Linked DNA regions of Drosophila melanogaster. Each later gene encodes a partner of the first gene's protein in a complex. Each region holds a gene or a part of one and is shown in the gene's direction. Other genes may lie near its edges. The genes, in order: eIF3i, eIF3m, eIF3a and eIF3d1.

Region 1 (6,367 bases):
TTGCGATCCAAACTAAATTTCAAACACGATTTTTGTGTGAGTTTTCGCCATACTTTTCGTTAACTATTCCATTGACTACTTCTTGTGCAATGGTTAACCAAACCAGTAGCTCCCTCTATGCGATGCACAACTTATCGCTCCAAAAAAAAAATTCTCATCTCATTACTAATTTACATAAAATTAACAACTCCGTATTTATACCTACAGAATATGATTAAGGGTGAACTTGTCAAAGATGAGCATGACCCAGACTTGGAGGCCTCCATAATTTCACCCAAAGCAAAGCCCAAAGCCAAATCAAAGACCTATCCAAGGCAAAAGCCAAGGAGCAAAATGCAGCCAAAGATCAAGAACGACACGAAGGTGGAGAGCATGGAGGAGGAGACGGAGGAGGACGAAATCGCCTCGAACGACTCAATCCTGGATGATTTACTCAGAACAGATCAGCCCTATCAAGAGCAAGAATTTGAGGTTGAGAACGAGTTCCTCGAAGTACAACAGAATGAAACAGATCTCCAGGACCAAGAGGTGGTCTACGAGGAAGAGATGATACAGCTCAAGCCGGAAGATACGGAGATTAATAACGAATACCAAGTCGACGCGATGACGGAAGACACCATTATTAGTGAATTTGACTTGTTTGGCAAGAGTTTGGCTCTGCAGCTGAACAACATGGACCTGGAGGACGCACTAATGTGCCAGGAGCGTCTGCAGGTGGTCCTAACGGAATTTCGCCTGAAGGTGCTCAAGCGCAAGAGAGAGCAAGCACGATCTTCGTAGGCTTACAATTTATATCAAGCTGTCTTATGTACATAATATAATTTCTTTAACAACTAAATAAATAACTATTCTGCCTCAATTTCGTCAATTAGCGCCCGGCACTTTCTCTTCAATACCTTGACCGCCTCCAGGAAGATGACATCGGGCTTCAGTGCGCCGACTGATTCCACGGAGAAAATGTAGTGATCTCGGATACGGGCCAAAGTCACAGCGTCGTTTAGCTGGGGATAGCGATACACATTTCGGCTGCACGTGTCGTAGCGTGCATCCTTTACATAGGCAGTTTCATTCTCGTCAATGCCAATTACTCCTGGTGAGAAACAGTTCTGTAATAGGTACGCATCCTTACCGGTCACCTCGCGGTTCAGCTTAATCATGGGCAGCAGTCGGTAGGTGGCCGTGGCCACCGGCGAGAATTTCGCGTGATCCCGTCCAAGTCCCTTAACCGCCACCAGGCGCAGATCCAACTCGTGACCCGGACGCAATTGGGCAATCAGTATGTCATCGTGAATGCAGTTCACAGCACTCTCGCTGTATATCTGCGCCTGCTTTCCTTTGGGCAGCCACTTCAGATGACCCGAGTACACTTTGTGGTTTTTGTAAATGTCATCGAAGTTGGACTGATCTTTTCCAGCATCCCGTCGCCGCGAGCACTTCACCTTCAGCTCAAATTCAAGCGTATCCTGCTCGGTCCCCGCCTCAGTGCTTTCCTCGGTGCGGTATGCGAATAGACGGGGATCAGCCCGCAACGGAAGTAGACCCATTCGATGGGCAAGTACCTCGTCCTGGATGATCGAGGTGTTGTTGTATATGTACACCTTTTCGATGGCCATGCTGGGCACATCGCTGAGCATCAGGCGACGGAAGGCATTTGCAATGGCGGGATACACGCCAATCAGATCGAACTCCAGGCCGTCTTCGTCGTTTCTAGAAGTGAACACCAATTGTTAATCGACTCGTAAGATTCTAATTTCTATTGAGATTTACCTGACGATTTTGATGTGCAGCTTTTCCTTGAAAGCCTGAACGGAAAATACATCGTCCGCCAGTCCATAGTCCTGCGGATCCTGCTTCACCCGATACTCCTCCATGTACAGAAGCGGCTCCTTGCGATTTTTGCTTGCCATTTGCCCCGGTGTTTTTATTAAATAATTTAACAAAATTGAACCGCACGTGTTGGAATCAATAAGACCGCCTTCTAATACCAAAATATACCAAACTAACTAACAAACTAACTAATATACTAAATAAATATACTTTATGTACTAAATAAATGCTGTTTCGCCGTGACTGGCTGAATAGGAAGAAGCAGCAGGACACCGGCGATATTTTTATTTCTCCAGAAGATTTACGTAAAGCCTTCAAATTTCTGAAACCGGGCGTAAGATGTCCCGCTCCCTGCAACGCTTAGTGGGCAGCTGTCGTCGCTGGGCACAACAGCCCGCAATTCGTCATTATGCCGCTCCCGCAGATTCCACTAAAGGCAAGGGTCCGATCTCTTGGAGAAGTCTGGCCGTCATTGGAGCCCTTGGAGCCGGAGGAGTGGGCTTCATGCTGTACGTGAAGAGCGAGAAGGATGAGGCGAGAATGAAGGAGCGTCAGCGGCAATTGGGAAAAGCAGCCATCGGCGGCAGTTGGGAATTAGTTGATTCGCAGGGAGCTGTTCGCAAATCGGAGGACTTCTTAGGCAAGTGGCTGCTCATCTATTTTGGCTTCACCCACTGCCCGGATATTTGTCCCGATGAGCTAGAGAAGATGGCCGCCGTCGTCGATGAAGTTGGTAAGTAGAGCCTGACTATTTCTTCCAAACCCAAAAAAAACCATGTTTCTCAAACCTTCACAGAAAAGTCCCCGCAAACGCCAGCAGTGCAGCCCATCTTTATCACCGTTGACCCAGAACGTGACTCCAAAGAGGTGGTGGCCAAATACGTAAAAGAGTTCTCCCCCAAACTGCTGGGACTCACGGGAACCGTCGAACAAATCCGCAAAGTGTGCAAGGCCTTCAGGGTTTATTTCAGCGCTGGACCGCGGGACGAGGACAACGATTATATTGTGGATCACACCATCATCATGTACCTGGTCAATCCCGATGGCGAGTTTGTCGATTACTACGGCCAAAATCGGGACAAGGACCAGTGTGTGGCATCCATTTTGGTGAACATAGCCAAGTGGAATTCAATGAACAAAAAGGGATGGTTCAGCTAGGCTGGCTAAGCTAGGCAAATGTTGTTTCGTTGTATTTACTTAATGTATGGCATAAAATATGGTTTTTACTTGATGTATATCAAGTTTTAAATCCAAATTTTCGTTTATATTGGCTATACCTTAAGTTCTAGATTGTAAAAATTTCTGGTTGTTCAAAATAAACTTGATTAACGGTATTTTTTAGATCCCCCTGGTATATCGAAGTGAGATTTTGACTAGGCCACGGTCACACTGCTCTTTTGGCGTGTAGTGCTGCGTGGATGTTGTTGCAAAAATATTCGTTTTCTCGCAACAAATAACAATATAATACAAAATGGTGCGTGCCTGGTCAATGACTACACAGTTTGCATTATTCCGGATGGGTTTCTTTAGAATTTACCCGAAATTACAACTATTTGCAAAGTGTGAAAGTCGTGTGAAATTCCGGACCAAACATAACCTTAAAAGCGGCCTAAATTGTTGCTAAAAATTCGTATTATTCTGTCTTTTATAGCGTCCGTTGATGCTTCAGGGCCACGAGCGTTCCATAACGCAAATCAAGTACAACCGCGAGGGCGACCTGCTCTTCTCCTGCTCCAAGGATCAGAAGCCCAATGTGTGGTACTCGCTGAACGGAGAACGTTTGGGCACCTACGATGGTCACCAGGGTGCGGTCTGGTGCCTGGATGTGGACTGGGAGAGCCGTAAGCTCATCACCGGCGCCGGTGATATGACCGCTAAGATCTGGGACGTCGAGTACGGCACCGTTATCGCCTCCATTCCGACCAAGTCATCGGTGCGCACCAGCAACTTCAGCTTCTCGGGCAACCAGGCAGCCTACTCAACGGACAAAGCGATGGGACAGAGCTGTGAACTGTTCCTCATCGATGTCCGCAACGCCGATTCCTCGTTGTCGGAGCAGGAGCCCACACTCCGCATCCCGATGACCGAGTCCAAAATTACGTCGATGTTGTGGGGTCCTCTGGATGAGACCATCATCACAGGTTGGTGTTTACCCGATAATCTATTATGAAAACCGTTTAAAACCCGTATTTCCAGGTCACGATAATGGCAACATTGCCATCTGGGACATCCGTAAGGGTCAAAAGGTGGTTGACTCTGGCACGGATCACAGCGCTGGCATCAACGACATGCAGTTGAGCAAGGATGGCACCATGTTTGTGACCGCCTCCAAGGACACCACCGCCAAATTGTTCGATTCGGAGTCCCTGATGTGCCTCAAGACCTACAAAACGGAGCGTCCAGTAAACTCGGCGGCCATCAGCCCAATCATGGATCATGTCGTGCTGGGCGGCGGTCAAGATGCCATGGAGGTGACCACTACGTCTACGAAGGCTGGCAAGTTTGACTCGCGCTTCTTCCACCTGATATACGAGGAGGAGTTCGCCCGACTCAAGGGCCATTTCGGACCCATCAACAGTTTGGCCTTCCATCCGGACGGCAAGAGTTACGCCTCGGGCGGAGAAGATGGTTTCGTGCGTGTCCAGACATTCGATAGTACATACTTTGAGAACATCTTCGAGTAGTTTGTATCCAGTAGTGATTTAGTAGGATCAGAGCCGGTGGACTTAACATAACCATTTCACCGGCGACATGTTCGTTTGCTTAGGGAACTTTCAAATATACGCGAGGACGAAACGAAACGGATCGCGTCGTTTATTTTTATAACATCAAAGGAGTGGAAAGAGGTACAACATGATTATATTCGAGTAAATGGTGTGCCATGTGTAACCTAAAAAAAGGAACGCTTTTTTTGCTTGAGAACCACAGGCTGACCCTGCATGGCCGCCCACTGAGCCGGTGTGGGCAGGCAGCCCGGCGGAGGAGGCGGAATGACGACATTTCCGTTGGAATTTGTCCTCACCTCGGCCCGTGAGTCCAAGTGGAGGACCTGTGCTGCAGCTGCTCCTGCCGACGTACTGGGACCAGCAAGTCCGAAGCCACTGCCATGTGTCATACCGTAGTTGGGCTGCCCGCTGAAGGGCATCTGCTGTTGCTGGTGGCTGATCATGCCGTAATACTGATTCTGGCTGGGCGGAGCACCTCCTCCTTGTGGATAGCCATAGGCACCAGCACCGGTGCCGCCGTTTCGCTGGCTTTCTTCATACGTTGGCGGAGGAGCTCGCTAGAAGTCGCAAAACTTTAGATGGCGACTGGTATTTGATAATCAAATTAACTTATTACCATGGCCATGTCATCGCCGGAATGGCGATAGTCGTAAGCGGGAGCACTTCCCTCGCTTGGTGGACCTGCTTTTGATGGCTTCGACATCTTATCTCGTCTGTAATTTGAAGTTGCACTTTGTTTACTTGCAGTTTCTCTGAGTCACAAACAGGGTTGTCAGCTCATCGAGATTAGTGATGTCGTAAAGTTTTCCCGTCAGATCTGGATTTATTCGAAATTTATTTTCTGCACGCGAATTGCTATTTTATTTCTTTGGCGTTTTAAAATAAATAAAAAATGGGAATAATATGTCCCTCACAATTTATTAGTAAATTTTTGAGTTGTGCTATTAGGACGCCAGTTATTGAAACACACGCTTTTACAAATAATTCAAAATCAGATTTAAAGATGTTCTATGGTAAAATATACATGTTTGGGTCACCTTTTTCGAAATTCAAAGTGAAGTCTACAAAAAAATATGTATTGAGTTACTTTTTGTAAATCGATGTTGTCAAGTTCCAAAAATAATTAATTTTTGAATTTCTACCAAAGTATTTGATATGGATGTCTAGAAAGGAAGCCCACTGCTGGTTCCTGGCTTTTTCGTGGCGATCCTCACCGACATGGGCGACTCGCAACTGGGCTGCTTATATTGCCGCCTTTTTATCAGGTCTCTTTGAATGGAGCTTCCCAGGCTGCGAATGGGCACCGCTGTAATCCCATCGATCAGATTCTCCCGGGCGTGCTGGAGCGTGCTATCGATCAGCTGCTCCACGGCTATGGCTCGAGGATCCACCATCGGTTCACGCTCCAGCACGTCCACAATCATGCGCAGGGTCTCGTCCGCCTGGAACTCCTCCAGCGGCAGCACCTCAATCAGCTCTTTGAACATGTGAGCGACGATGAAGTGGGTGCGGTTCACAACCTCGGAGTCGCCCATATGGACATGAGCGCACAGCGAGTCCTTGGCGTGATCGAAAATTCCGGATATCAGCTCCTCGGTGTTCACATCAGAGCGTTCGTAGTCGAACACAGCCACCACCTCGTTGAATAGCTTGCGAAGCTCCTCGTTGCTGATGTGGATGAAGTACTTCTTCGGCACAAACGTCTGCAGATGCTCCGTTATGCACTCGGCTATGCGATCCGTGTACCGACCCTAAAATATAACCTTTGGTAAGATTGAGTAAACTAATTGCTTTTAGATCTAATCACCTGGAAA
Region 2 (6,572 bases), on another chromosome or scaffold:
TTGCGTCTTGATCTAGAATGGAAATGTAGCTATCAGTGATGCCTTATCTTATCACGGCTAGACATTGTCACATATTCGCGGAAGCAGACACCTTCAGTGTTTGATTTACATAATCGCTTACCAGGAAGAAGGGACTGGCACAATAGGAACCCACAACGCCGCCCAAAGCGCCCCAGAACATGCCCTTTGCGAATGAGATCTCGCCCTTGTTGTTGTGGACCCAACCCTTCTCTACGGCATGGGTGTATATGCTCAATCTAGAGCAGATAGAGAGATAGAGCACATATGTATATTTTTGGAAAACTCCTTGTAGGATAACAAACAGCTTTAACCTACCGAAACGAGTTTATTACAAACTGGAAGCATAGCGCTGGAGCCAATCCTTTTTGCAAGCCAAGAATTCCATCGTTTTTGGCCACAGTCACAAAGGCCTGGAAGACACTCTTGTAAGGCTGAGCATGAGATCCTCGGGCGGCCAGCTCTCCCTGTAGTTGAATGCGAGTTTTGATCACCTCGACGGGATTGGTGAAGACACCAGCGCCCATGGCAGCCACGCCGCCCAGCACAAAATCCGACGTAGCCATCAATGAGACGTCCGTTCTGTATCACAATCTAGTGATCACTAACGCCACACTTGCGATAAGCTAGCTGCTTAAGACTTGAGAGCAATATGCGTTAAAATGTAACAGTTAAACTGGTTTATTTCACCAAAATATTGCACGGTTAATGGCTACAGGAAGAGCTCTTAAATTAGCTTAATGAAGGCACAAGTTGGTTCTGGGGCTTTGCTAATCTAAGAGATTGGAACTAGGACATTAAGCTAACTCACTAAAGACTAAAGCCAGATTTAGACAAACAAATTGTATGCGGCGGCACTTGCATATCAAATTTGTTTATCAAAGCTTGGCTTAATAATAAAAAGCAATGTGTATATTTCCGGGTGGTAAAAACGATTTTAACAATTTTGTACTTAAATTAATGCTACCTAGCCAGTGATCTTTGGGGTCATTGATTACTATACTTTGTGCGTACGGCGACCAGCTCGTCAAAGAATAGCAGCACAAGGGTTGAGTGGGGGGCAATGCGCAAGTAGTTGGCCCAGAACCCCTTGTACATACCATAAACGCCCTCTGATCGTAGGATTTTCACAAAGCAGTCAAGCCAACCGCGATAAAGAAGACCGCGTCCTTCGGCGTCTACGCCCTGATTGTACAGACGCGTGGTGATTACATCTGGCGGCGTTATGGCCACCGACATAATGGATCCGGCTATCAAGCCAGCCGAGAAGGAGTTCAACGTGGGCTGGGTCACCAGATCGTACTGGACCAACAGGGCTTTGGTCTTACCAAAGGTGGCTATCTGGGCACCTGATCCCAAAGCCGCCCTGGGCAATGCGGCCACAGATCCTCTCCACAGTCCTCGTACTCCATTCCTGGAGTAGATCTGACGCAGGGCATCTGTCATGGAAGTATGGGCATGTTGGTAGCCAACGGCGATTTGCTTGGCGGCTTGTGATTGCAGCTGAGTTTTGATCTGGATGCAAAAGAAAGGACCATAAATAATAATATAGAAATATAGACATTGTACATAAGAGAATTGACTGTGATAATATGTTAATGTTTACAATACTTATTAAGTTATTTAGCGAATATTTTTCTGTTTCTAGATCTTGAAAATGTCTTGGTATAAATAGGCTAACAATAAATGCGTTATGTCATAAAGTAATAAGCAATGCAAACAACCATAAACAGTCAAAAAATATGGAATATTTGGAAGTATAATACTTTCTCCCTGGATATCTTGAAATGGTAGTATTTAGATACTGATGGACAATTGCCAATAAAGTCTCTTATCTGTGGAAGGTCCATAATGCTGATGAGCACGCGGCTCATTTAGATAAACTATGTATTTGTTTATGTAACCTCCCGCAGCATTCCCACAATTGGCGTACCAGGAAAAATGGACTGGAGAAGTAGCACCCCACGACGCCGCCGATGGCGCCCCACAGTAGTCCCATTCCGTAGGACACCTCACCCTTCCGGTTGTGCATCCACCGCCTCTCCATTGCCTCCGAATAAATGCTGAGCCTGGCGAATGTAAATTCAAGATGATTAATAATTATAAAATATAGCTACTAAATAATTCCCCACCGGAAGGAATTGATGATGAACTGGAAGTACAAGGCCGGTGCGAGGCCCTTTTGGAGCCCCGTAATGCCATCATTTTTGGCCACCGTAATGAAGGCATTGACAATCCCCTTGTAGGGCTCCACATAGGTACCCCGTGCCGCCAGCTCGCCCTGCAGCTGGATCCGTGTCTTGATCACCTCGATGGGATTGGTGAAGAAGGTGGCCCCCACGGAGGCCAGGCCGCCCAGAACAAAATCCGATGTAGCCATGTAATCACGAGTTCTGCTGAGGATAGTGGTTGACTAGTAACGGTTGTACCGCCTGCTGCGGAATCTCTGTGGCTCTAGGAAGCCGCACGCTGCGTGTGTGTCGTGTATTTCATAATTCTCCGCCCCGATTAGCTGGCATTACTCCTGCTCTTCTCGCCCGTTATACAAATATAATATAAATTTGGCGAGCAATATAACTTAGTAGCAGCGGAGTTGCCAGACTGTCGCCAAATTAACAATTTAACAAAAATCGTGTCATTTTGCTTAACTGTAAAGTGATAAATGTAAAATAAATAACTGCTGGATGGTAAATTTAAAATTCAGGAGAAACGGGTTTTAGAACGTTAGTAACGGTACGGCTAAGAAGTCACTTAGTGACTTATATGTTTCAGAAGATCCGGGAACACTACTTTTGCCCACATTTATTGTTAGCTAGAGTCCCGTCAAAACATTTATAAAATTGATTTTTATGTCAGCATTAATACACTTGCAAAGCCATAACTATTTTAATTTTATTGAACTGAATGAATTTCAGAGGAATATTATATATTTTAAGTGGCCACGTTAACGTCATCTTAATTTAATTCGGTCAATTGTTTGAGAGCATCGCTATTAGCGGGAAACGGACCAGGCCGGCAGCACTGGTCGCTCTCTTTCCTTTCGAGCTGTCAAAGCGCCGAAGACGTGTGTGCGTGTTATTTTCAGCTGAATTTGTTTAAAAAAGTGGAATAACATTTAACAAAACCATGACTTCGCATCCGGTTTTCATAGACCTGTCCCTGGACGAGCAGGTAGAGTGAAAGTGCCCTGTTTTAGCCATGAATTCGGGCGGCGCCTTGCCCGAATTGAGGTTATGTCTTCCTCTTGCTGCAAAACAAAACTAATATTATTCGCAATTTATTAAAAGGTGCAAGAGCTGCGCAAGTATTTCAAGAAGCTGGGAGCCGAAATCTCATCGGAGAAGTCCAATAAAGGTGTGGAGGATGATTTGCACAAGATCATCGGCGTCTGCGACGTTTGCTTTAAGGATGGTGAGCCCTCGCAGATTGATGGAATTCTAAACAGCATTGTGTCCATCATGATCACGGTGAGTAATACAGAATACAATATTAGCAACAAAAAATAACCTTCAATATTTCAGATACCCCTGGATCGCGGTGAGAACATTGTCCTGGCCTACTGCGAGAAGATGACCAAGGCTCCCAATCTTCCATTGGGCAAGGTGTGCCTTCAGTCGTTGTGGCGTCTGTTCAACAACCTGGACACCGCCTCTCCCTTACGCTACCATGTGTACTACCACCTGGTCCAGGTGGCCAAGCAGTGCGAACAGGTGCTGGAGGTCTTCTCAGGTGTGGATCAGCTCAAATCCCAGTTTGCCAACTGCCCACCTTCGTCGGAACAGATGCAGAAGCTGTACCGCCTGCTGCACGACGTGACCAAGGACACCAACCTGGAGCTGTCTTCCAAGGTTATGATTGAGCTGCTGGGCACCTACACGGCGGACAATGCTTGTGTTGCCCGTGAGGATGCCATGAAGTGCATTGTGACTGCCTTGGCCGACCCCAATACATTCCTGCTGGATCCTCTGCTGTCGCTGAAGCCTGTGCGCTTTTTGGAAGGCGACCTCATCCACGACCTGCTGTCCATCTTCGTGTCCGAGAAGCTGCCAGCGTACGTGCAGTTCTACGAGGATCACAGGGAGTTTGTCAACTCGCAAGGATTGAACCATGAGCAGAACATGAAGAAGATGCGTCTGCTGACCTTCATGCAGCTGGCCGAGAGCAGCCCGGAGATGACATTCGAAACGCTTACCAAGGAGCTGCAGATCAACGAAGACGAGGTGGAGCCCTTCGTCATCGAGGTGCTGAAAACAAAGCTGGTACGCGCACGACTAGATCAGGCCAATCAAAAGGTACACATCTCATCGACAATGCACCGAACCTTTGGAGCACCACAATGGGAGCAGCTTCGCGATTTGCTGCAGGCATGGAAGGAGAACCTCAGCACAGTGCGCGAGGGTCTAACGAGCGTCTCCTCGGCGCAACTGGATCTGGCTCGATCCCAGAAGCTGATACACTAGGCGCACCACTTCCAAAAAATTGCACTGATGATGAACAAATGCTGGCCTCGGGGCACTGGAGTGACGACCTAAATTATTTTCAAGAATGCGAGAGGGCTGGATAACTTGAATAAATTTATAAGTAAAATCGGTAGCAAACAAGTGTTTTCATAAATGCGAGGAATACTTTAATAGCTTACAATTAAGTTGTAGTGTTTTTGAAGGCATTTAACGGGTTTCATTAAAATCCTTTTTAAGAATTAAAGCTAAAAGAATAAAACATAAATATACTGATATTCTTTAAAAGCACTAAATATTGGTAACATTCAAAAGTAAATTCATTAAATTTGTAAGTTGAAACTTTTACCTTAACCATTTAAGAAGTGAAGTCCAGAATATTGCTTAATCAATGTAATAAAACTGTCTAGTATTAGGAAAGAAAACCGAAAAATAGCCTATTCGAGTATTTAAGTAGATAATCCTGTTGCTCCATTACAGCTCCTCGTGCACGTTTGTATGCTTACGATCCTTTTCCTTGGGGAATCCCCAGAAGTACGATGGAAAACCGTGCACATCTCGTTCCCTTTTTTCGAATGCCGAGTAAGAGGATATACAGTTGCCGATAAAGTGGTTCGACTGTCCGAGAATGGCCAAGTCCAGGTAAGGATCATCCTCCGGCAGCTTGTGCACACTGATGCCCATGCGACTAAGGGCCGTGTTTAGTTCACCAATCATGTGATTGGAGTCTGACGCCACGAAAACTGATTTGATTTCGTTGTCCGGCTGAGTTTGGCGCACGTTCTTAATGGTTCTCTTTAGCTGGCGGATGATCGCCTCCTTGGAGGGCATGCAGAGCTCCGGGTAGAGTGCACCACGTTCATTTTTATAGCCCAAGCACTGCGGCGAGGCAAACAGATGCTGGCTATCCTTGACGTGCTCACAGGCTCTCACCCAATCGATACCGTTGCGCAGATGAATGCCCAAAAAGGCACCCCGAGGCAACTGCTCTCGGATGAAATCCTTAGATGCTTCCCTATACCGTTGACTCCACTGCAAGTAGCGCTGCAGCTTGCAGTTCTCTAGCTGAACAGGAAAACTAGCCGGAGCTCCGGTGAACGCGAGTACGGGATATGATTCTGCAGGATATTTGGTCTGCCACTTGGCAGCCTCGTTGCTATGATGCACATCAAAATGAAGTGGCGCATAGAACTCTGACCGCACAAAGTCTATGTGAAAAGTGTCCCAAAAGGGACCAAAAGGATTGCCATCCTTGGCGTGGCAATTGGGCTTGTCTGGATCGTTCTTCTCCTGCTGAAGGCTATATCGTTCCTTGTAGCAAAATGACACTCGCTCCGATTCTGGCCAAATGTCGTCGGCCAGGTGCCACATGAAATCTGCCATGGTGATGACGCGATGGTATTCCTTCAGGGGCTCCACTTCAAAATATGTGTTGAACGGTACCTGACGGGATCGCAGTTCACCCCTACGATACTCCACCCACGGCGGCAGGATCAGGGTGCGATTAAGCGCCTTGGCGAAGGCCAATGATCCCAGGAAGTGGTCGGCCTGGTTGCCAAAGCGTCCTTTGAAAAGCGCGGTTTAGTTGTCGTTTTTCGGTTGCTTCCAAGTGAAACTTACCCATACACGGACAGTAGGTGAGGTAGCCATTGGGATCGCCCCCCAATTGGGCACATGTTGAGCTTATTAATAGTAAAATTAAGTTTACGAAGCGAAGCTTCATTTTGAGCCACTGCATTCTGCCGGCTTCGATTTTCTTTGACCAGGTGGCAACTCTGTCTCTTTGCCAGATTACAAAATGTTTGGAATGCTTTTGTTTATGATGTGATATAAATATAATTGCAAACATAAATATATATTTGAAAATTTATGAAATTATATTGTGAAATTATTTTTTAATTTTATTGTGAGACTTTCTTACTATGGGCTAAAAAGCTCAGATCTGGCAACCTATTATTTTCTAATCAGATGTTATTGCTTACATGAAACTTTAGAAATAATTTTATTTAGACTTTAGACAAAATTTACAATATATAACAATGTATAGCCTGTGAGTATTTATGCGGATAGTGTCTTTTTTGTATTTCTAAGCCCAAA
Region 3 (8,832 bases), on another chromosome or scaffold:
GGCCTGCCACCAGATGGGCATTTCCAGTGCCAAGGCGACCAAGGACACCGGTATCTGGGTGGGTGACAACAAGATCTGTGCCATCGGTATCCACGGCTCGCGTTACGTCACCACGCATGGAATCGGCCTCAATTGCTGCACGGATCTGCAGTGGTTTGAGCACATTGTGCCCTGCGGAATCGAAGGCAAGGGGGTCACCTCGCTCAGCAAAGAGCTGGACAGACATTTTCCTGTCGAGGAGGCCAGTGGCGCACTCCTCAATAGTTTCGCTAAAGTTTTCGAATGCCGCCTTCAGGAACACGCCAAAAAACCAGCAAGTTCTGCTGAAATCGGATAATATGGTTATTTGGATACATATGATGTATAAAGGACCGCCAAGTTTATTTCAACATTTATAATTTAAATTATGCATCAATACATATTTCCTGGCCTTCTGTTATCTCAACTTTTACGAAATGGAAATTTGTAAACTAGATTTATGTATTTCATAAAATATTAAAATAACATTATAACTATATACATATATAGACTCATTGTCAATCGTATTTATCTATTTTTTTTTTTGTCCAAATCTGAATCAAAATCTTCGAAATGTATGCCATACAAGAAAACTCAGCGACACACAGCCAACAAAAAATTTGGCCCGAATCGAAGTTATATCTTACTATAAATTACACTTCAATGGAGATCACATAAATCGAGCTTTATTCAGGTCACACTTTTTGGAGCGCCCATCCGTAGGAATCTTTCCCCGTGCATTCATCTCCACACGAGCCTGTTCCCGCAGCTCTGCCTTCCGCATTCGACGCTCTTTGCGTGACTCCAGAGCATTATTAAAGTACCGATCCCTGAAGTCCTGCGAGGGCGTTGGCACCTGTTTTATGCTGCACAATAAGGGTTCTGTTGGACTATACTCGAAACACTTTTCATAGGTGAGTAGCCGCCTAGCTGTATTCCCAGTCAATTGCTGCTCAGAGTTAGCTATCAGGCTCAGATGCTGATGCTGTGGCAGCATCTTCGGGTCGTAGTCCTCGCTGTGAAAGGGTATCCAGCAGACAAGACGTCCTCCCAGTTTTAGGTGCCTCGCAGAGAACTCGAGAAGATCCCCATAGAGACTCTGCAAGGAATAGTGCGACGTTGATGGGTAATGCACCATGCTGTCACTTCTAGTGTTGGCCTTTACGCTAGCCTTTTTCTCCACCTTTTCCGTGGCCTCTCTTATTCCATAGGGAGCTTAAATTACCAAAGAATGAACATTTTAAGTTTGGTATAAAAAAGAATAAACCTACGATCTGTTATTATGCAGTCGAACGAGATGCGGGAATGCCACACCGGGTTGGAGAAATCGGCCACCACCACATCCATGTAGCGATCAGCGCAGCCGTACTGCTTCAAGTTGGCCCGAATGCTCTCGTCCTTCTCCCGCACTTTTTGGGTTATCCGGCTCGGCCGGCAGCGGGCGTGCACCATCATGTAGTCTATGTCCGCTCCCAGGACATACCCGCCCCACTTGGCGGCGCTTACCAAAAGCGAGCCCGTTCCCACAAACGGATCAAATACCAGATCCCCATTGCGTACCATCGCTTGGTTGGCCATTAGCAGGCTCAGCTGGGCGTCCATGCTGGTGTTACCGATAAACTTACGATGCTTCAGCGAAAGCTCCTTGATCAAATGCCGCTGACCATGGGCCATCAGCCGACCAAACAGAATGTCCTCCGGCTCAGGTGGCACAGCCGTTGGATCCAAGCCCCAAAACTCGATGTACCACCACTCCACCACGGGTTTCTCCAGATTGACCGTTCCCTCTATTGGCAGGTAATCCATGGACTCGATTTTCTCAACCTTTTCCCTCTGGCTGAAGTGCTTGTTGTAGGTCTCCACAACGATCTTAAAACTGGCATCCACCCGAAAGTATTCCGCAAGCGAATGCCAGTTCGCGGTAACATGATTCCGTAGCCTCTGGTGAAACTCGGGTAATTTGTTGGAGTGGGCGTAGAGCTCGAACATGGCGCGCAACGAAACGGACCTGGATGCATATAGCAACGCAGTATCCGTGTCCCGAAATTCGACCAACCAAAATGGTTTCTGTAATACCGAAATTAAAAAATATAAATATAACTATATATGCTGATGCTTCTATACTACAGAAGTATTTATATATGTGTCGCAAGCTCTAAAAATAATGTAATCAAAGTATCCTACACTAAAAACATCTAACAGGTACGCGGATCGTATTCGTAATGTATGTATACCAGGTATCAGGTATCCTTTCGAAACCTTTTAGGTTTTGTAGTTCCTGAGATCTCAACGATCGTATATAATTTATAGCTAGTAATGCTAAATTTCTACCTGTTGAAAACACTTTTGAAAATATAGTTTACTATTTTCTTCCTCTTACAAATACATATAAAATTTTTTTACGTTAAAAATATTAAACATATTAATAAAATTCCAAGTTTGGATATAACATTAAACCACAGGTTTTAAAAGTTATAGGGGAGGTGGAATTTGTTAATCTTGCGTTTTCAAAATTCTGGTACTAAAACACTTTACCCTGGTGTGTTCTGTAAGCCGCCGGACCTGAAGTCCAAACATTTTGACCAGCGAATCAAACTCCTGCACGCGAAAGTCGACATGCTCCTGGGCGAACCACAAGATAAACTTCCTCCAGTTGACCATGTCGCTATTTTAATTAATGAATTGTTTATTTATATTCTAGAGCGACTTCATTACTCCTCGTGTTATTGCTGTGAGCTAGCGGAGTTGCACTGCGATTAGCTGACCATCGGCAACTATCGGCCTGAACTATCGATAACGCAGCCAGGTGTAGCCCTGCGTGCCGTCGACTCGGCCATTTTGCATTAATATTGCAGCCACACGTAGGCGAGCCGAAGATTTATACAATTTTCAGCAGCCCCAGGTCTCAAAACGCTCCAGACCTGCTATCAAAATCAACTTGAAGTGCCGCCGCAAGTAAGTAAAGCGATCGGAAATGGCCCGCTATACGCAACGTCCGGAAAACGCCCTAAAAAGGGCTAATGGTGAGTGCTGAAAATTTTCCATGCGGTGTCTGAAGAGAAACTTTCGTCTTCGCGAATCGTGTGCTCTCTTAACTCGACGCCGCTCTCTTCGTCACAGAGTTCATTGAAGTGGGAAAGCCGCTTAGGGCGCTGGACACGCTGCAGGAAGTTTTCCGGAACAAGCGATGGAACTATGCCTACTCGGAGACGGTCATCGAACCGCTCATGTTCAAGTACCTGTACCTCTGCGTGGAACTCAAGAAGTCGCACATCGCCAAGGAGGGACTATTCCAGTACCGGAACATGTTCCAGCTGGTGAACGTGAACTCTCTGGAAAATGTAATCCGCGGCTACCTGAAAATGGCCGAAGAGCACACAGAGGCTGCCCAAGCCCAGTCCTCGGCGGCCGTTGCTGTTCTGGAGCTGGATGACCTGGACAACATTGCCACGCCAGAGAGCATCCTAATGAGCGCAGTGTGTGGCGAGGACGCACAGGACCGCTCCGACCGCACTATTCTGCTCCCGTGGGTCAAGTTCCTGTGGGAGTCCTACTGCCAGTGTCTAGAGCTGCTGCGCGTAAACACGCATTGCGAGGCGCTGTACCACGATATCGCTCGCATGGCCTTCCAGTTCTGCCTTAAGTACAACCGCAAGAGCGAGTTTCGCCGCTTGTGCGACAAGCTGCGCAAACACTTGGAGGACATTTGCAAGAGCAGCAACCAGACCACCGGTGTCTCGATCAACAAGGTGGAAACGCAGCAGCTCTGCTTGGACACCAGGTTGTACCTTCTTGACTCGGCCATCCAGATGGAGCTGTGGCAAGAGGCCTACAAGGCAATCGAGGATATCCATGGCCTGATGGCTCTGTCCAAGAAGACACCCGTGCCCAAAACCATGGCCAACTACTACCAAAAATTAGCCATGGTCTTTAGCAAGGCCGGCAACCAGTTGTTCCACGCTGCAGCGCTGCTGAAGCTCTTCCAGCTGACGCGCGAGCTGAAGAAGAACCTGACGAAGGACGACTTGCAGCGTATGGCTGCCCACGTTCTCCTGGCCACTCTTTCTATTCCGTTGCCTTCGGCCCATCCAGAGTTCGACAGGTTTATTGAGGCGGACAAGAGCCCCCTGGAGAAGGCGCAGAAGTTGGCCGTGCTTTTGGGCCTGCCCCAGCCACCTACTCGCGTCTCCCTTATTCGTGAAGTGGTAAGTATCACGCAATATAGTAATGACTTATGACTAATTCATAAACACAGGTGCGCTTGAATGTTCCTCAACTCGTATCTGAGGACTTTCGCAATCTATACAACTGGTTGGAGGTGGATTTCAACCCACTGAATCTGTGCAAGCGCATTCAGTCTATCGTGGACTTCATTGAGAACGGGCCCGAAAACGCTCTGCTCACTCCTTACATTCAATCGCTGAAGGACGTGACTATAATGCGTCTGATTCGTCAGATCTCTCAGGTTTATGAGAGTATTAAGTTCCAGCGTCTCTTGCAGCTGGCCAGTTTTTGCAACATTTTTGAATTGGAAAAACTGCTGGTCGAGTCCGTGCGTCACAATGACATGCAGATTCGTATTGACCACCAGAAGAACAGTATCTATTTCGGCACTGATCTGACCGAGAGTCAACGCGAGTACCGCCCCGACGGACCCGCTTTGCAATCGATGCCCTCGGAACAGATCCGCTCTCAGTTGGTTAATATGTCTACTGTTCTGACACGGGCAGTTTCAATCGTCTACCCGAACCGTGAACGTGACCAGCGGGCCAAGCTCCGCAACCAGATGGTAAACCATTACCATGAGATCAAGGATCGCGAGCACCAGCGTATTCTTCAGCGACAGAAGATCATCGAGGACAGAAAGGAGTACATCGAGAAGCAGAATAATGCTCGTGAAGAGGAAGAGGCGCGGCGTCAGGAGGAGGAATCGCGGAAGGCCAAACTGGCCGAACAGAAGCGCCTCGAGCAGGAGCAAGAAGAAAGAGAGCGCAAGCGCCATCAGAACGAAATCCAAGCCATCCGGGAGAAGAGTCTCAAGGAGAAGGTTCAGCAAATCTCGCAGACGGCTCATGGTAAGAAGATGCTTTCCAAGCTGGATGAGGAAGGCATTAAGAAGTTGGACGCCGAGCAGATCGCCAAGCGGGAAAGCGAGGAACTTCAGCGCGAGGCCAAGGAACTGCAGTCGAAACTCAAATCGCAAGAGAAGAAAATCGACTACTTCGAACGCGCCAAGCGCCTGGAGGAGATACCGCTTTTCGAAAAATACTTGGCCGAAAAGCAGGTTAAGGACAAGGAGTTCTGGGAAGCAACCGAGAAGACACGCATCGAGAATGCCATTGCCGAACGGAAGGATGCCGTCGCCCAGCAGGAGCGTCTCAAGCGCATGTATCCGGACCGGGATGAATTCCTTGAGGCCCTTAAAAAAGAACGTGCCTCCCTCTACGTCGAAAAGCTCAAAAAGTTTGAGGCTGCTCTGGAGGCAGAGCGCAAAAAGCGCTTAGCCGACCGCATTATTCGACGCCGCGAGGAGCGCCGACAGGCCTTCCTTCGCGAGAAAGAGGAGGAGCGTCTTCGCAAGGAGGAAGAGATTCGCTTGGCACAGGCTGCCGAAGAGCGCGCCGCAGCAGAAGCCCGCCGTTTGGAGCGTGAGGCTGAGGACGAAAAGCGTCGTGCCCAATACGAAAAGCAGCGTGCCAAGGAGGAGGAAGCTGAGCGTAAAATCAAGGAAGATCGAGACCGCCTGTCCAGGGAGTTGGCCTCGGAGCGCGAACGCACTGAAAAGGACCGTGACACATGGCGTCCTCGAGGCGGTGACCGTCCAAGCGCATCTAACGGCGGATCCAGCGAGTGGCGTCGTGCTGCACCTGCGGCCAGTGAACGCAACGACCGTGGTGGCGAGCGTATCGAGCGCGGAGGAGAACGGATCGAGCGCGGTGGAGAACGCCTCGAGCGTGGTGGAGAGCGCATTGAACGAGGCGGTGACCGTGACCGCAAGGACAACGAGGGAGCGGACTCCTCTTGGCGTGTGCGACGAGAGCCAGATTCACAGCGTGCAGCTGCTCCCAAAGACAGTGGCGCTCCGCAATCGCGCGATGACAAGTGGCGGCGTGGCGGAGAACGTGACCGCGATTTCCGCATTGATGGGGCTCGTCGCGACAGGGATGATGGGCCTCGGCGTGACCGTGACGATGGTCCTCGCCGGGATCGTGACGATGAGCGCGGTGGATTCCGCCGCGCCGACGGGGCGCGTCGTACCGACGAGCCTCAGCGGGAAACTGGAGGGAACTGGCGCGACGCTCCACGCCACGCTGATCGGGAAACCCGTCGCCCAGCTGAGAGGCGCGACCGAGATGTGCGCGAGACTCGTGGCGATCAACGCGGCTCTGCTCCTAAGGAGGCAGCCAGTGGCGGAGTAGGCGGAAACTGGCGTACTGCTCCTGCGACCCGTGAGGAAAAACCAGCAGCTAAGCGCGATCAAGCCCAGGAAAAGGGTAAGTAATCTCAGCAGCAAACCTAATTTCCATTCTTATCAATGCGTTACATCTTTCAGAGAACAAAGCTGGCGATGATGGCGAGTGGACCAGCGTTAAGCGTCGTTAATTTTTATTTTCATCATCGTATATACCCAGCATAATATTCTTAATAAGTTTTTATTTCATCCGACTTGTACTTTATTGGTGTAGAGCTCAGTCGGCCGGTATATTATATCTATCTATCCAAAGCTTGTGCCAGATAGTTAAAATTGAGATGGTTGTAGGACCGATACTAATTAAAGTACTTTCGAATAAAATAACTATGTTCTAAAAAATTGAAAAGTGAAATTGTCGAATGAGAACCTTGGGAATCAAAGAAATGAAAAGTGGTTATTATTGGTTTAATTCAAAAATTCTAATTCTTATTTATCAGATTTCAGGATGAACCAAGCTTCCCTTATACGTACAGTGATTTATAAACCAGTCCCTTTAAATTTATATTTCGACAGAGCTAAAACTACATTAAAATGTAGTTTGCAAACTAAACAAATGCGGGTTCTTCTATAGTTTTACAAAGTTCGTTCTTGGAAGCGTGGCTTTTTAACATTAGGTTTTTTAATTGCCCATAAATAAAAAATGCATTCAAAAGTATTGTAAATTGTATTATCACATACGCTTGACTTATTTTAAAAAAGTGACATCTTTCTTAGGTAAAACCATATTCGTTGGGAATAAATTCGAGTAAATTTAGAAAAGCTTTTATAGCAAGCAAAACAAAAATATTCTGCCTCTGAAAATTTGCCTCGATAATATGAGCCCGCGCCTTCTTCGCACACTCAACTAGTATTTTCTTGCGAACTTGGCACTAATGCCATGGCCTCGCGGATCCTCCGCGGTGCGCGCCCCTGGTCACACTGTCTGTGCCGCTGCCGCGAATCTCGGTCCACGTGAACAAATTTTGGACAATGTGCTATACGGTACTCATGAGATAAAGTGATTGCGGGTTGCTTTGGAGTGCAGTGACGTTGGCCCATCTTAAACCGCGGGTGATCGTGATCTTCGGGCGGAACAGAAAGACGCAGTTTGACTGCCGCAAGAAAAAGCCCTTTTGGGCACCGGACTTGTGTGCTTGTGTTAGTGCTGCAGACGCGGCGCTCAACATGTGAGGTTAAAGCAGACGGCGGCAAAAATCCGAACGAACAAGCGTTCGGCTGGGGAAGCCCTTTTTCGAGTGAAATAGGTGATCCGGAACCACAACGGAAGCTCAGAAGGTAATATTGCTAGGCGCGTGCCACAGATTGGACATCGCGAATGCGATAGCGAATCCGCTGAGCTTTGGGGAGAAAGGCTTTCGAAACCAAAGTGCCAAGGTGATAGGCAAGACCTGCGAAACGTATTCATTCAACTCGATTGCTTTTCGCCAAGGAGTGCAGTATCAAAAGCACATGGCGTGGCGGCATTTACACGCACACGCGCCCATCGTGGCTCACATACACATACACGTGGTTGGGGCAAACATGTGCTGTTGCTGCTACTGCTGCTTCTTCTTTCCGCCATCGTCGTTGTGTGGGCATGTTTGTTATTGTTGTCGTTGGCTAAAACTATTGTGTTTTGTGTTCCAGGTCCATGTGTAGGTGATGCAGAGGCGCTGAAGATTGATTAAAATCATTTACACCCGTCAATCGTATAGTAGAGGGTATGTGACTGCTTCAATTTTCGAAATGTTAATTTTACCATTTAGGAAATCTTGGTATCTAGTGTCAAAAAACACCTTTCGTGCAGGCTTTCAATATTGCGGCCACAGTATTTACATCAATATATTGTAGATGGAACTTAAATTTAAAACTATTCAACTAAACTATAATAGTTTTAAGCAACAACTATCAGGAAAATATAAACATAATTTTGAATATATCGACAACCTTTCCCAGCCCAAAGAAAAAATCTTTGTAATGCAAAACATGAAGTTAAATTGTGCAATTCATGACATAGTTTTAGAGAAATCTTGTTTAAATGATTAAGTTAAGTCATTTATGACACGTGTTAAGGCTTTCTAAAGCTACATTTTTATTCCGGTTTCGGTATTTATTTACATTGTAATTTAATTTTAATGTCAATGCCTATGTTTAATTTTTACCCTGATGATGTGTCTCTGGCGGAGCTCGACGTTGTGCAAGTGTTGCATGCTTGTTATGCATTTTGTTGAGGATTCTTTTGCGGTCCATAGTCAGCTTAGCGAGTTGTTCCTCCACCTTATCCATCATTTCGGTTTGCAGATGTATACATGATTGGACACTAACGCCTCTGATCGCAAGTTGGCCGATGTGAAAAGACAACT
Region 4 (7,110 bases), on another chromosome or scaffold:
CTCTCTGATTAGAGACCAGAGATTAGAGATATATGGCCAGTTGATGCTACGATATTTGCGCAGAGCAATTGTTCGTTCGATGGCGGGAGAAATGGGAGAGAAAGAACAAATATATAATATATATATATATATACATACACGTATATATATATATATATAGGAGGCGAGCGTGTATTTGTGTGAATGTCACAGATGTGCGTGATTGTTTCCATGGAGCGGCGCAAGTGAAATGGGCAAGTTGAAAAGAGCAGTTGTGTTTGGTTTGTGAGGCTGCCAAGAGCGAAAAACGAACGCGGACAATGAATAAAATATTTGGGCTACTGTTTACCCTGTGTCTGCTGCTCGTTTGGCCCACGCCCGGAAATGGCCAGTCCCCGGATGAGTCCCGGCTCCTGGTGGCCATTCACTACGAGGCCCTGTGCCCGGACAGCATGAGCTTCATCCGGCGCAGATTGTACGATGCTCTGCAGGACAACGACTGGTGGTCGGTCACCGATCTAAAGCTATATCCATTTGGCAAGGCGGGGGTGAGTCAGCTAAGATCAAAATGATAGAATTCTTATGCATACTATAGTCATTTCTTTAGTACTCATTTCGAATTCATTAGCAGTTCATTTCGAAAACCATTTGTATTTACATTAAAAAAAAAACAGCAATAAACTGAAATACACACACACAATTTGTTTGTAGATCGTGAAATAGTTCATGTTTTTTGAGGTTTTAAACCAGAATTTGTTACGTGCAGTTCTACAACAACACATCCACTGGCGAGAGCCAAGTATTTTGTCAGCATGGCGTGGATGAGTGCGAACTAAATGCACTCCATGCCTGCATTATTGAGACCCTGGACATTCGGAAGGCCTTCAATCTGATCTACTGCATGCTGCGCTCCTATTCGAATGAGCTGGGCCCGTGCTCGAGGAGCATGGGTGTGGACGTCAGCAAGGCCAGGGAGTGTAAGGCATCCCGAACCACGGCAGAAATACTGGCGCCCTACGGCAAGGAAACCCTTAAACTGGGCATCTCCTTTGTGCCCACCATTGTGTTCGAGAATGTGAGTAACCAACCCAACCAGGCTTACATGATCAAATACCAGACTTAACTTAACATTACCCTCTGATCCGCAGGACTTTGATCCTTACGACCAGAGAAGCATTCGCAACAACTTCGAAAGACACTTCTGTCGGCAGTATCTGAAAAAGTTCAACATCAAACTGCCCACTTGTTCCGCAATTTTGTAAACTTTTATGTAATGTACTGAGTAATTTAACTGTTTCAATGTTCCAAGACCAATAAACAATAATTATAACCAACTGGAGTGTTTGCTTACTCGCTGACTCACTTGGGGCCAATAAAAATTTACATGTGTATAGTATATACATATCAGCTTATCAGTCATGTTTTTGTATACAGATTCTAATCAGAAACAGCTGTCTGGTGGTCTAAAAATAAGATTAAAACCCCGCTGCTCAGTAAGTTTTCCGTAGTCAGCGCATAAATGTAAAGGGGAAAATGCTGGTTGACAGCAGGGGCGTCGAATTGGTTGGCTAGTCACACCCTTTATCTATATATTTATATTAATTTTTTCAAAAGCGGATATATTACAGAAAAATTATAAAAAACAAGCGAAAAGTCACCCTACTATTGCAATACAAATAATTATTTTTTTTTTAACTTATATGATTTTTGAGCCCCCCTTGAGCATTTTCTAACCACGCCACTGGCCGCTTCGAATTTGACGAAACGCAGTGACAACGCTGCGCATTACAAGTCCCGGAATTATTTCAGTGTCGAGCGTTCGCTGGCGTTGAGCGGCCGAATATTTCAAGATCAGCTCGGGATTAAACTGAATTTGCCATGAGGGCGGCTGTCTTTGTGTGTCTGCTGCTGGGATGGGTGGGCGTGGCCACGCCAAGGGTAAGTGACCCAGTTGATCGGACTGAATCCCGAATTGCGACGCTCCCATTGATCGTGACTTTGCAGCGTTTGCGCGGACCGCAAGCTGACCGACTGGCGATCACCCTGTACTACGAAGCATTGTGTCCCTACTGCATGGAGTTCGTGACCACGCAGCTCAATCCCTCGATGGTCCGTCAGGATCGACTTCCATTCACTGATCTTACGCTGGTTCCTTATGGAAATGCCAGGGTAGGTTTCATTTTTCGTAGCTTAAACTAGTAGTTATAGTACAAGTACATAGTATAGCTCAATTTGAAGTTTTAGAGTGTCAATCAGCGTTAATCCGCACTTAAACTTCGCTTAATCCCCTCCAGACGAACGATGACGGAAATGTGGAGTGCCAGCACGGAGTGATGGAGTGCGAATTGAACGCGTGGCACGCCTGCATACTGGAGCACCATGACATTGCCCAATCCCTCAAGCTGATCGCCTGCATGATGAGGGGTAAGAAGAACAGGCTGGAAAAGTGCGCTGACCACTATCAAATCGACGTGGGCGATGTCAAAAATTGCAAGAAAACGCGACAGGTGAACGACATTCTGAGGAAGTACGGCAAGGAAACGGCCAAGGTCTCATTTCAGGGAGTGCCAGCCGTAGCTCTGGATAACGTGAGTTTAAATGCGAAAGAAATTCATGAAATCTAAAATAAAACTTTGTGATTTTAAGGTTTATAACGCGGATCTATCAGCAAACTTAACTGATCATTTTGATGCCATTTTTTGCGCCAAGTATAAGGAAAAGTTCAATAAGCAGCTAAATAATTGTCAATAAATATTGTGTTCATTTAACAATACATTTTTTTATTAAAAAATATTTTTTGCATTTTCTTTGTAATTAAATCGTAAAATCAGGTTCTGAAAAATGAATAGTTCGAATTTTTAGTTTTCCCGCCCAGCAGTGGCGCCATCTATGACAGCATGCTGCCAGACCTTTGAACATTCGCTACGATTTTAGTATTTTTCTTTGGCGGTGGTATATTTCAACGCGACAACGGTCCCACTCAACTATTTTCGCAACACGCGACGATACGAATTTTCCACATTTCTTTGTTGATTTCTGGAAAATCGCTGTATATAGACCGAATAGCCGACTGCAGACTGAGCACCAGGTAAACGCGCGAGATGAGCGAGACCATAAACACCGCGGCTCAGTTCCCGAGCTTCGAGAAGCCGACCGTGCAGTTCAATGAAAAGGGCTGGGGTCCCTGCGAGCTGCCCGATACGTTCAAGGATGTGCCGTACCAGCCGTTCAGCAAGAACGATCGTCTGGGCAAGATCTGCGACTGGACGAATACGTCGAACAACGACAAGAAGTACCAGAGTGAGTTTATTCCCCACCCGAAACCGACCCACAAAATACTAATCGCCGAAAGTGAGGTTAGGTAGGTGTGTCGTGGCATGATATTGTTGCTAACATATTGGTGGTTGGTATTCCATTCGCAGACAAGTATGCCTCCAGCTTTGGCACGGGCATTCAGTACTCGTACTACCATGAGGAGGACGAGACAACCTTCCACCTGGTGGACACGGCCCGCGTCCAGAAGCCGCCGCACCAGCGCGGCCGGTTCCGCAACATGAGGAATTCGCGTTCCGGTCGTGGCAGGAATGCCCGCGGTGGCCTTAATACTCACGGCATGACGACGCTCAGCGGCAAGAATGTAAAGGCCCGCGATCCGCGCCATGGTCGCGGCATGGGCAAGAAGTTCGGTCATCGCGGACCACCACCAAAGATGCGCGAATCTTCGGTGGCCGTCCGCGCCGATTGGGCATCCATCGAGGAGATGGACTTCCCGCGACTCATCAAGCTGTCGCTGCCCAACATCAAGGAGGGCGTCGATATTGTCACCTGCGGCACGTTGGAGTACTACGACAAGACCTACGACCGCATCAATGTGAAGAACGAGAAGCCGCTGCAGAAGATCGATCGCATCGTGCATACGGTGACCACCACAGACGATCCCGTCATCCGGCGTTTGTCTAAGACCGTCGGCAATGTCTTCGCCACGGACGCCATCCTGGCCACCATCATGTGCTCTACGCGATCGAACTATTCCTGGGATATTGTCATCGAGAAAGTTGGTATGTTAAATGAAATACGAAATATAATAATAATAAGAGAAATAAATAATAATTGTAACCTTATTTTAGGCGACAAGGTGTTCATGGACAAGCGTGACCACACCGAGTTCGATCTGTTGACCGTGAACGAGAGCAGCGTGGAACCACCGACCGACGACGACAGCTCATGCAACTCCCCTCGCAACCTGGCCATCGAGGCGACTTTCATTAACCACAACTTTAGCCAGCAGGTGCTTAAGACTGGAGACCAGGAACCCAAATACAAGTTCGAGGAAAGCAACCCTTTCATCAGCGAGGACGAAGATATCCAAGTCGCCAGCGTGGGCTACCGCTACAAGAAGTGGGAGCTGGGAAGCGATATTGTAAGTGTTGCATAATCCAACTTTAAAGTTGGAATATTTTTCTATATTATGTTAAACTATTGTCTTATACTTTTAGGTCCTGGTAGCGCGTTGCGAGCACGATGGTGTCCTGCAGACGCCAAGCGGCGAGCCGCAGTTCATGACTATCAAGGCACTCAACGAGTGGGACTCGAAGTTGGCCAATGGCGTGGAATGGCGTCAAAAGTTGGACACGCAGCGCGGTGCTGTGCTCGCCAACGAGCTGAGGAACAACGCATGCAAGCTGGCCAAGTGGACTGTGCAGGCCGTCCTGGCCGGGTCCGATCAGCTAAAGCTCGGCTATGTGTCGCGTATCAATCCGAGAGATCACTCGCGTCACGTCATCCTCGGCACGCAGCAGTTCAAGCCGCATGAATTTGCCACTCAGATCAACCTGAGCATGGACAACGCCTGGGGAATCCTGAGATGCATCATCGATCTGGTGATGAAGCAGAAGGATGGCAAATACCTGATCATGAAGGACCCCAACAAGCCGATCATCCGTCTGTACGACATCCCAGACAATACTTTCGACTCCGATGACTCGGACGATGGCGAGGGCGATGACGAAGGTTTCCAGCAGGTCTACAACTACGCGCACAACAAGATTTAGACGCCACGCCCCCCTACTCCTGCATCCCTTCCAGTCTTGGGCTCTTTTGCCACAACCCGCTAAGAATAACCACAACTGATGTCCTCTAAAGGAAAAGGTCATGTTATAGGCCCTAGCTTAAGCATTTGTATTCGATTTAAATTCAGATATTTCCTAGTAAATCACAGAGGGCGAAACAATACATGAATTTTTATTGGTCCAGGTCTAATGCCGGGTACTTGTGATAAAAACTTTCGACTGAAACACCGAGGTCTTGTACGTAAATGACTGACTCATTTCCCGGACTCATATATAGTAAGCTGATTGTGCGTGTCGGGCATCTAGTTAAGATTTAGACATTGTTTAAACTCTGACGGTTAAAGATGGTCTTCCTACAAAGAGTGTACATATCCTTCCTGGTCCTGCATACTCAATTGCTGATGTACCTGGCTGAGTCTGGTAATATATGTTGCAAGTACTCCACATTGTATACGTTATAACATTCAAGAAAATGATTCATTTGGATATGGGTATTTCCTTGAATTTTAAAATATAAATAGCTTTGTTTCGTCCAATCATTATCTAAACATCCAATTAAAATGACTCACATAATATAATATTTATTAATATCCAATTCTTTACTGTATCAGAATATCCGCCTTGTAATCTGGATGAGAAATGCATTAGTCTAGCCCGCTGCACATCACTCTTGCCCTTTCTGAAGCCCCACAACATGACGCCAGCCGAGAAGGCGGTATTCGAGGACAGATATTGCGGCTATGGCCCCAAGGGGCAGGAATTATTGGACAGAGTTCTCATCTGCTGCCCAAATATGGGACACATTTTGCCAAATACCCAGATATGTGGACCAATCATGCCGGCTTATCGAATTTTCGGAGGAGAGGAGACGCAACCCAACGAGTTGCCTTGGATGGCCCTGATTCTATATGCGCATCGCAGCCGTTCGGTGTGGAATGAAAGACTCGTGTCCAGGTGCGCTGGATCCCTGATCACAAACCGCTATGTGCTGACCGCAGCCCATTGTCTGAGGATAACGGGATTGGATCTCAGGAGGGTGCGCCTTGGCGAGCATAACATTTTAAGCAATCCCGACTGCGTCACCCATATTAATGGTAGGGAACACTGCGCTCCAGAGCATCTGGAAATTGACGTCGATCTGAGTATCAAGCATAGGCACTACATGGTCTTCGAGGAAAGGCCCTACAACGACATCGCCCTGCTGCGATTGAAGTTTCCAGTACGGTTAGTTGCACTTGACCTGTCATATCTTTTACTACATATATATATATATATATACATTTCATATGTCTTTAGCTATACCGCTCAAATCAAACCCATCTGTGTTCAACTTGACTATATCTTCTCGAATCCGTCCTTCAGCAACCATAAGTTGCAAATAGCTGGCTGGGGACTCTCTCATAAGCAGGGCTATAGCAATGTGCTGCTACAGGCCTATGTCAATGGCAGGAACGCGGACGAGTGCTCATTGAGTGAACCATCCTTGGGATTGGACAAGGAGACCCACATATGCGCCGGCAACCTGGGAGGCAATGACACATGCAAGGGCGATTCCGGCGGTCCGCTGATGGCCATCATGGAACGTGGTGACGAGGAATTCGTATATCTAGCCGGAATCACATCCTACGGGTACAGTCAGTGCGGATACGGACCAGCAGCTTACACAAAGACATCCAAATTCGTTGAATGGATTCTATGGAACATGTACACTAATATATTCCAATGAAATAATCAAAATAGTAGAATTTGGTTAAGAAAAGAAATATTTATTGTCCGGCACTGAGCCCAAATTATCGCAAAAATAAATTAGGAAATTTCATTGAGTCATTGGGATTTATGAGTTTGTTGATCCATTTTATTCTGTATATTTAGTGTCAGATCGAGTTTGGATGTCTAGCATGTCGGACAGACGTAAAGTTTATATTTTGGTCCTTCTCCAGGCCATTTTCTTCAACCAATTGGCTGAGTGTGGTAAGCAAAAGCAATGATTTTTAAGTTTTCGTAAAAAACCGAAGATGTTATATCTTGCTCAATAATATCCTTGCAGAGGATGTGTGCTGTG

Evidence for each region.
Region 2: eIF3i (region 1) and eIF3m share a complex: the UniProt entries of both Drosophila melanogaster proteins name them as parts of the eukaryotic translation initiation factor 3 (eIF-3) complex.
Region 3: eIF3i (region 1) and eIF3a share a complex: the UniProt entries of both Drosophila melanogaster proteins name them as parts of the eukaryotic translation initiation factor 3 (eIF-3) complex.
Region 4: eIF3i (region 1) and eIF3d1 share a complex: the UniProt entries of both Drosophila melanogaster proteins name them as parts of the eukaryotic translation initiation factor 3 (eIF-3) complex.

Annotation. Positions count from the first base shown.
Region 1 is NT_033779.5:4,964,625-4,970,991, reverse strand, and holds eIF3i (eukaryotic translation initiation factor 3 subunit i), read left to right. Parts: upstream 1-3,216; 5' UTR 3,217-3,298; coding exon 3,299-3,301; intron 3,302-3,478; coding exon 3,479-3,968; intron 3,969-4,023; coding exon 4,024-4,511; 3' UTR 4,512-4,625; downstream 4,626-6,367. Other genes in the region: l(2)05714 (lethal (2) 05714), read left to right, coding at 208-780; Polr1C (RNA polymerase I and III subunit C), read right to left, coding at 846-1,707, 1,768-1,907; Scox (synthesis of cytochrome c oxidase), read left to right, coding at 2,167-2,560, 2,624-2,985; CG34125 (uncharacterized protein), read right to left, coding at 4,718-5,110, 5,170-5,256; CG34124 (uncharacterized protein), read right to left, coding at 5,717-6,304, 6,361-6,367. UniProt on the Drosophila melanogaster protein: Component of the eukaryotic translation initiation factor 3 (eIF-3) complex, which is involved in protein synthesis of a specialized repertoire of mRNAs and, together with other initiation factors, stimulates binding of mRNA and methionyl-tRNAi to the 40S ribosome.
Region 2 is NT_033778.4:14,161,104-14,167,675, reverse strand, and holds eIF3m (eukaryotic translation initiation factor 3 subunit m), read left to right. Parts: upstream 1-2,850; 5' UTR 2,851-3,144; coding exon 3,145-3,189; intron 3,190-3,305; coding exon 3,306-3,485; intron 3,486-3,539; coding exon 3,540-4,478; 3' UTR 4,479-4,610; downstream 4,611-6,572. Other genes in the region: CG18327 (uncharacterized protein), read right to left, coding at 1-12, 122-257, 337-584; CG8323 (uncharacterized protein), read right to left, coding at 1,006-1,533, 1,952-2,087, 2,151-2,398; O-fut1 (O-fucosyltransferase 1), read right to left, coding at 4,950-6,040, 6,096-6,213; CysRS-m (Cysteinyl-tRNA synthetase, mitochondrial), read left to right, coding at 6,515-6,525. UniProt on the Drosophila melanogaster protein: Component of the eukaryotic translation initiation factor 3 (eIF-3) complex, which is involved in protein synthesis of a specialized repertoire of mRNAs and, together with other initiation factors, stimulates binding of mRNA and methionyl-tRNAi to the 40S ribosome.
Region 3 is NT_033777.3:4,427,908-4,436,739, reverse strand, and holds eIF3a (eukaryotic translation initiation factor 3 subunit a), read left to right. Parts: upstream 1-2,844; 5' UTR 2,845-2,992; coding exon 2,993-3,041; intron 3,042-3,138; coding exon 3,139-4,223; intron 4,224-4,273; coding exon 4,274-6,512; intron 6,513-6,571; coding exon 6,572-6,621; 3' UTR 6,622-6,942; downstream 6,943-8,832. Other genes in the region: Lipt2 (Lipoyl(octanoyl) transferase 2), read left to right, coding at 1-337; CG1074 (uncharacterized protein), read right to left, coding at 689-1,233, 1,290-2,085, 2,554-2,679; CG31525 (uncharacterized protein), read right to left, coding at 8,621-8,832. UniProt on the Drosophila melanogaster protein: RNA-binding component of the eukaryotic translation initiation factor 3 (eIF-3) complex, which is involved in protein synthesis of a specialized repertoire of mRNAs and, together with other initiation factors, stimulates binding of mRNA and methionyl-tRNAi to the 40S ribosome.
Region 4 is NT_033777.3:23,677,111-23,684,220, forward strand, and holds eIF3d1 (eukaryotic translation initiation factor 3 subunit d1), read left to right. Parts: upstream 1-2,928; 5' UTR 2,929-3,080; coding exon 3,081-3,279; intron 3,280-3,401; coding exon 3,402-4,037; intron 4,038-4,106; coding exon 4,107-4,399; intron 4,400-4,475; coding exon 4,476-5,030; 3' UTR 5,031-5,207; downstream 5,208-7,110. Other genes in the region: GILT3 (Gamma-interferon-inducible lysosomal thiol reductase 3), read left to right, coding at 300-527, 746-1,054, 1,128-1,241; GILT2 (Gamma-interferon-inducible lysosomal thiol reductase 2), read left to right, coding at 1,858-1,917, 1,984-2,148, 2,274-2,567, 2,626-2,730; CG16710 (uncharacterized protein), read left to right, coding at 5,393-5,468, 5,660-6,272, 6,345-6,774; CG18754 (uncharacterized protein), read left to right, coding at 6,947-7,019. UniProt on the Drosophila melanogaster protein: mRNA cap-binding component of the eukaryotic translation initiation factor 3 (eIF-3) complex, which is involved in protein synthesis of a specialized repertoire of mRNAs and, together with other initiation factors, stimulates binding of mRNA and methionyl-tRNAi to the 40S ribosome.